Linked DNA regions of Cricetulus griseus. The protein of the gene in region 1 purifies or fractionates together with the protein of each later gene. This does not show direct contact. Links are inferred from orthologs where the notes say so. Each region holds a gene or a part of one and is shown on either strand. Other genes may lie near its edges.

The links. The genes of interacting proteins can lie anywhere in the genome.
Region 2: the proteins of Rnf19a (region 1) and Sod1 purify together in Homo sapiens (affinity purification with western blotting, with the first as the bait; 3 studies listed by BioGRID). This does not show direct contact. The link is inferred for Cricetulus griseus from reciprocal best matches to the Homo sapiens genes RNF19A and SOD1.

Annotation. Positions count from the first base shown.
Region 1 is NC_048603.1:15,215,504-15,218,821, reverse strand, and holds part of Rnf19a (E3 ubiquitin-protein ligase RNF19A), read right to left. Parts: coding exon 3,182-3,318; intron 1,836-3,181; coding exon 1,622-1,835; intron 490-1,621; coding exon 346-489; intron 1-345. UniProt on the Homo sapiens protein: E3 ubiquitin-protein ligase which accepts ubiquitin from E2 ubiquitin-conjugating enzymes UBE2L3 and UBE2L6 in the form of a thioester and then directly transfers the ubiquitin to targeted substrates, such as SNCAIP or CASR.
Region 2 is NC_048597.1:7,466,063-7,470,139, reverse strand, and holds the start of Sod1 (superoxide dismutase [Cu-Zn]), read left to right. Parts: upstream 1-1,161; 5' UTR 1,162-1,266; coding exon 1,267-1,338; intron 1,339-3,319; coding exon 3,320-3,416; intron 3,417-4,077. UniProt on the Homo sapiens protein: Destroys radicals which are normally produced within the cells and which are toxic to biological systems.

The sequences.
Region 1 (3,318 bases):
GAGCGATGCCAGCAGAGACCACAAGAGGGCATCAGATCCCCCAGAAAACTGGAGTTCCAAGTAGATGTGAGCCACACAGTGTTCGTACAGAACTGAACCCAGGTCTTCTGGACAAGGAACCAGTGCTTAACTACTGAGCCTTCTCTCCAGCCTCTTCAGGCTTCAAGTTTTAAAATAGTACCAGGGACATTTACTGCTTTTCTGTTGTGGGCATGGACTTCCTACCTGGATGGGTTTGCGCCTTTCAACATCTCGCTGTTTTCTTGGAGACTGTGCCCAGTGGGCGGGATCATTCCTTTTGAGTGAATTAAAACACTTCTATTTTTACAGGGGAGTCCTCCTCACCTGTCCAGAGGGATGCAGGAGTTGAGAATGGATCCGGCCATGGCTTTGGTGCTGGCATTATCACTCACTGTTCCCAAGCTCACGGTGCCGGACTCTCCACTGAGACTGCACCGTTCTTTCTGAACATCTGCTTGAATCTCCAGCCTTAAAGAGGAGGGCATCACACACGCACCCAATCACTTATAGTTCCGCAATCACAGTACATATCTTTAAATAATTCAGTGAGAAACTTTGGTAATGAAAATCTATTTTAGGCACTGTAGTTTTTCAGTTCCCACTTCTTTTATTATCCAGATTAAACTGTGGGGTACTGAACAACACCCAAGAGGACTCAAGAGAACACTACCCAAAGGAAGATCAAAAGGAAACAGATCTGAATGGTCTCCACGGTATTTTCACTAGGATGCAGTCCTCTGTCATGCTCAGGACAAAATACAAAGTCAGAGTGTATTAATCAATAAACATGATAGATCCATTAATAAATAAAAATCCCTCTGTTAACTGGGTGTAGTGGCAAATGCCTTTTATCTCAGCCCTCAGGAGATAGAGGCAGGCTGCCTGGCCTGTATGGTGAGTTCCAGGCTAGCCAGGGCTTGCAGCATCCCAGCTGCCGGTCAGACCACCAGCACTCCCCTCTCCTATGCTCGGGTTGTGCCTGGCTTCTGCTACTGATATTGTATCTAACTGTGAAATAATTCCAGAAATTAAGCAATTTCCTGCTTTAAACTCCTACATGATTTCAGAAAGGATATTAGATTACACAAAGTACAAGTCACACTCTATCTCAAATAATGAAAATAAATCCTATACTAAAAAGGGTTCTGCTCAACAACTTCAGCCTACATCTGATTTTGTAATAAGAGGTAACAACATATACCAAATTACAACGTAGTTTCTGTCCAGCTACCTGAAATAAGATAAATACGACTTTTAATTCATCTACCCTCTCCACAAAAGAGCTAACACACACAACAGTGAATAAGAAAAATGACGCAGTAAGATAAATGTTGACTTCTCCTCCTCATCTCCACGGTATCAGTAAACAAGCAAGGTCGACGCTAAGCATGGCCTTTACTCTAGTGAACACAAATGCAGATCCTTGATCAAATCAACTTCATCAAGTGTAGTTATTTCTCAGGGCTTAAGTTTTTATTACAACACAAGTACCAAACACAGTACTTTTAACCTTTGGGTAGTTATCATGCATGCTTTGCATTCATATTTTTCATCTAACTAAGGTCTTGTTAACAAACCAAAACAAGCAGCTATTTCTTACCTGTTGAAACAGTTCACCATGGCGCTTCCTGACAGACTTCCCGTTATGCTAGCTCCAGCTAAGGCCATGGTGCTGGCTGTCTCACTCAGGTTGTCTCTCATGGTGCCTATTCGGTCCATGTGACTTCCACTTGCACTCAAGCTGCCAGTCAGACCACCAACGCTCCCCTCTCCTATGCTCGGGTTGTGCCTGGCTTCTGCTACTGATGTTGTATCTAAATGTAAAATGATTCAAGAAATGAAGAGAGAATGATTACTCATTTTCCTGCCTTAAACTCCTACATGATTTCAGAAAGGATATTAGATCACACAAAGTACATATCACACTCATGGTTAGGCATACAGAGAGCCATTTCAGGGTGTACTGCTCAATCTGAGACTGGCCCTAAATTTAAGATGGTCAGTATTTGTTGTTGCTAAGTCCAGAAGATTCAGGGATTTGAACAAATGATTTAGAAGACCTCCCTCGACAGACTTGGTTCCAGTGAGAGATCCTGTTCTCTAGATCAATAAGACAAAACGGACAAAAGCTGATTTCTAGACGTAGTTCTAATTGTCTATAAACTATTACAAGATGCTATAGGATTATATTCTAATTTTACAGTACTATTCACTTACTTACGCCAGTATCTGAGTTCCTATTACATATTCAATCATGTGACCAAGCAAGACAGGGGAGTGACTATAGTGCGTATGTCATCCCTGGACACCGCTTTACAACATGGCCAAGGAAGGCCTCCCTCGAGCCACACGAGTCATAAAATGAGCATTCCAGGCAGGGGTAACCACACGTTTAAAAGCCCAGAAAGCGGAGTATTAACTGTCACCTTCAAGAAGAGGTGGTGTAAGACAGTCAGGGCAGACTGTGAGAGCAAGGACCAGACACGCTCCCCAAGGAGACACACGAGAGATTTCATAGAAGGTGCACAGAGGGCACCAAAGGGCTTCGTTCTTAGACACTGCCCTGAGACACACACTTGTGATTAAAACCACTGGGTACAGGACAAGCACTATTTCAGCAAGCTGACACTCCTACTGCCGGTGTGTGAATAAAGCCTCTAGTCGTGGAGATTCCTGCCCACTACAGTTCTAACTTGTACTTCTTTGAGTGATACAGAAGTTTTTCATTTATTGACCATTTGCAATTCTTTTAACTGCAATGCTCTTCACATCCTTTTCAGACTTCATTACGTATGGAGTGAAACACTGTATGAAAAGGCTCTAACTCCTAAATGTATTCTTGTAAGAGGTGAGCACCCACAGCCACCCCTCCTCTGTCACACATGTCTGACCGTCACAGTTCCTTTCACAGCTATGCTTCTGGATTAAAACTACGAGGCTGTCAGACATTCACCTCTGATCTCAGCACATCTGAGGCAGAGTGAGCCTCGTCTACACACTGAGTTCAGGCCAGCCAAGGCTACACAGTGAGACCCTGTCTCAGAGAGGAAAGAGAAGGGGGGGGGGAGGGGTGTGAGACAGTAAGAACACAAAAAGGCCTAGTAAAAGGAGGACAGTAGGGCTTAATGCACACATTTCTTCCCATGTTTAAAGGACTCACCTATAGCTGTGTTAGTTCCACCAACATTTATGTCATTTTCGTCATCAAATTCAATTCTGACTCCTTTCCCATTGCCTGCTGAAACTCCACAACCCCCACTTCGGCAGAGGGAGATTGGAACAACACCATAAACATAA
Region 2 (4,077 bases), on another chromosome or scaffold:
TGTACCCTTTGCTCATTCCATAACATTTTAGAAACATTTCCCTTGAAACACTATGTTTCACCTGTTGCACAGAGGTATCGAAAATGACTTCCTCAGACATCGAGTCCTTCAGGGCATGGCTTAAAGCCAGAGTAAGGCACAGGCGATCCCTGACAGCTACTCTGTTGCCATTTTGGTATCTTTAAGTAGAGACCTGTCAAATTGGCAAGAGAATACAGAATTTAGCTGGGAATGGTGGGGCAGACAAGCAATCCTAGTTATTGGAGATACTGAGGCAGCAAGATCTCAAATTCAAGTTCAATGCCTGTCTAAAAAAGTAAAAAGACGGAGAGGGGGAGTTGGCGTAGCCCTTTAATCCCAGCACTGGGGAGGCTGAGGCAGGCGGATCTCTGTGAGTTGGAGGCCAGCCCGCTCTACAGAGCGAGTTCCAGGACAGCCAGGACTTTAACCCCAGGAACTGAGAGGTAGGGAGAGGCAGACAGATCTCTGCGAGTTTGAAGCGAGCCTGGTCTACACAGTGAGTTCCCATACAGCATGGGATATATGCTGAGATCCTGTCTAAAAAAAAATAAGGTAAAAAGAGGGATGGTCCTCAGCGGTAAAGCCCTTGTCTGTCACGTGGGAGGTCTTTGGTCCAATCCCCAGTACGAGGAAAACAAGTAAAAACACAAGAAGTATCGTGGCGCGTGCCAAGGACTTGGACTAACTGCAGCGAGAAAAAGGGCGCGGATGGAGACAGGGCCTGGCAGGGCTTTGCACATTTAACCCTCATGAGGGAATAAAGCCAGGGCGCGAGCATCGAGCATCCACCCCGGCGCATCCCGACTCTGGAGAGGCCACCTGGGCGCGCTCACCCAAGTCCCTGGCGCCCGGCGTTTCCTGGCCGAGCGGCTTCCGTCCTCCAGGGCGTTTCCACGGCGACGGCACGGCCGGCCCCTTGAGGAGACAAGGGCCGCTTTCCCGCGCCGCCCCCTCTCTGGAACTTTCCGACCCGCCGCGCGCGCGCTCTAGAAGCCGGCGCCACCCTCAGCCCCGCCCCCCAGCGTGCCCCGCGTCGCAGGAGCTCCACGGAGGGTGGGCGGAGCCCGCGGGCGGCGATTGGTCCGGTGCCAGGATGGGCGTGGCCAGGCTCGGACGTATAAAAGGGCGGCGACGGCGGCGAGGCCGAAGTTTGCGCCGGCGTTTCCTGCGCTGCGTTCTGTGTGTCTCCTCGTTTTCCTCGCCGTCCTCCGGTTCCCGAGGCCGCCGCGCGTCTCCTCGCGAAGCATGGCGACGAAGGCCGTGTGCGTGCTGAAGGGCGACGGCCCGGTGCAGGGCACCATCCACTTCGAGCAGAAGGCAAGGCCCAGGGCGCGGCGGGGCGCAGGCCGCGGGGACGCCGCCGCGCACCTGCGAGGGAGCCCGCCACGCCCCGCCGCGGCCTGCGAGCCGCTAGGTGCTGAGTCACCGCGGCCGCGGGCAGGGGCTGGGCGCGGGGGAGGAGGCCGGGGAGCCGCGGGACCTCCCGGGCGGGCCCCTTTCCGCGCCCCGGAGCGTCCAGGCCCGCCCGGGCCGCAGGGCCGTCCGGGCATCCGCTGTCCCTCCCGCCGCGGCTGCCGCTTTTCCGGTGTCCCTGCCCCACGGGCTCGGCCCTGTGCCCAGAGGCCGCGTCTGTCTTGAAGAGGGTGGTGACGAGCGGGGCCAGCGCGGCTCAGGACGCCAGTGTGGCTTTCTGAAGCCGCGTCCCGGGCTGCTGAGCACTAGGTCAGGGCCGCGCCGCGCCGCGCCGCGAGGGGGAGAGCCGGAGAGCCGGCCTTGGGCAGTCGTCCACTGCCTCTCTGATTTCTCTCCGAGCCCCAGGCAGAGGCCCGGGCATCGGTGCTTTTAGGGCAGCACGTTTCTGCGCGCATTCGGAGGAGTAGGGAGAAATATTTGCGAAAGAAATATTGTCGGTAATGACTGCAGAAACAAACGCATGCGTCACAGGGAGGATATTCGTGGTCAGATCGTGTCCAGAGCCCAGAGCAGCATCCCGTCTGCAGGGAAATTTTGTCATCCCGAGCTTAGTCCCGAGAGAGTATTTGGTAAATGGAGTGTGGACGTGCGCTCTAGAATGCTTTGCGTAGACAAGAGAAGACAGACCCCGAAGTGAACGCGTGTCTTCCCCCGATGCGAGGGAGAGCTGATAGCGTGAATTGGGTTTTCCTAAACCTGTCTCGGTTTCAGCAGTTGCTTTGGCATTTGAATGCATTTTGCTCCCTCTCTGTGTAAGTTTTTGTTTTTGTCTCTTTTTCTTTCCCCCTCCTCCACACGAAATTCACCACTGTGAGGAAGGGCTTCTTTCCCTTCCATGAGCAAGGTGAACTAGCTAAAGGTCCACCCCCGAGTCCAGCCGGGTTCCTGTCGCCGTCCACCAAAGCAGCTCACAGGAACTTCGTATTGCTGGTGCCCTTTGTACCCGCTGAAGACCAGACCCTTAGATAGTTAAACATTCCAGATTGGCACTTGCAGTAACTTGGCTACCAATGCTGTTTGATTTAGCCTGTTGCCAAATTTTTCAAGTCAAAAATTTCTACCCAAAGTCCCTTCTTTTGTTGAAAAAGTTGGAGATTTAAAAACATGATAAAAAGAAAGGCCTCAGCCTATGTGTTCCTGATTGCAGTTGCTTCTTGATTCTCTCTGTTGTTACAATCTCTCTGGGGCTATACTAATTTGAGTTTTGGATGTAACGTTACAGCAAAGTTAACCGTCACCACACTCCTGAATGGTGGCTGGTGACACTGCCTTTGTTTCAATACTATCTGTAGTTTGTTATTGTTCTTTTTGGTAAAGTGGCAAGTTCTCTAGGTTTGAATGTCTAATAAGTTTTTTTTTTTTTTTAAGTAACTCTGGTCAGACCCAGATGGATCCCCTGAGGCAGTAGGACATGATACTTCCTGGCTACTAAATAAAAATAAGAGAACTGATAGGAACTGATGAGTATCCCTGAGTGCTGAGTGGAGAGCAAGGATCCTGGGGTGGCCCCCTTAATTTTGTTGTTCTGCTGGTAGCTTTTGAAATGCTGTTCTGCCCAGGAGCTTGCTTGCCCACATGGCGTCTGGTAGCAAGTGTTACAAGAAGACTGACAGGGAGAGAGACCTAGAGCTAAGCAGCTGGAGAGTCAACTTGTAGGGTGTGGGTGGGTACACCTGGATTTGGACAGTTTGTTTGTTTGGGGGTGGGGGGTGTGCCTTTTACTGCAAAGGGTAAAGGTGTAAACTAGCAATTTCCTTTGCAAATGTTGAAGCATTTGCGATCAAACTTGATGCCTTAATTTTTTTTTTTTTTTTTTTAAATAAAGGGAAGTGGTGAACCAGTTGTGGTCTCAGGACAGATAACAGGACTGACTGAAGGCCAGCATGGGTTCCATGTGCATCAGTTTGGGGATAATACACAAGGTAGGTCTTGTGCTGTGTAGTGACCATCTATACCTGGCTGACCAATGAAGCACGTGGACCCAGTCAAAACTCAATTGCTAATGATTAAAAAATTAAGAGTTTTTTTACTTTTTAAAGAAATTAAGTTAAAATAACCGCTTAGGTCACCTTGAGGAAAGTAGCCACAAAAAGTAGTGTTTGATTCATTAAGTGTGGGAAGGGGAAGGAGTTGGTGCTTTATTGTGATAATGTCTTAACTTTAAAACACAGAAACAAAAAATTAAAGTCCTGCTGATTTTGAGTAATTCTTTGAGGTGCTTGGCACTGGGGGGTGAGGGTGGGTGTTTCAGGCACAGTGTCGGGGAAAGCTCCAAGCCTTGCAATGAGAGTCACAGTGGGGCAGAGTGCTGAGAACTGAAGGTACAGCTTAGGAGGAAGGTCAGTGTCTCAGTGGGCTTAGGATCAAGTCAGCAAGAAGTGGGCGGAGGGAGGGGTGTCCCTCCCTTCTCTTCTGTCCTCTCTGGCTCTTTACCTCTTTTCTCTTTCCCTCCCCTTTCTAATAAAACCTTTCACTTAAGTGGTGGTGGATTAGATTGCATTTAGTGGTCTTGCCATATTGGCAAGATCTGAATTTTGTTCACAAACTTGTAAGAAGAGCCTCATTCGTATTGTCAGAGCTTTC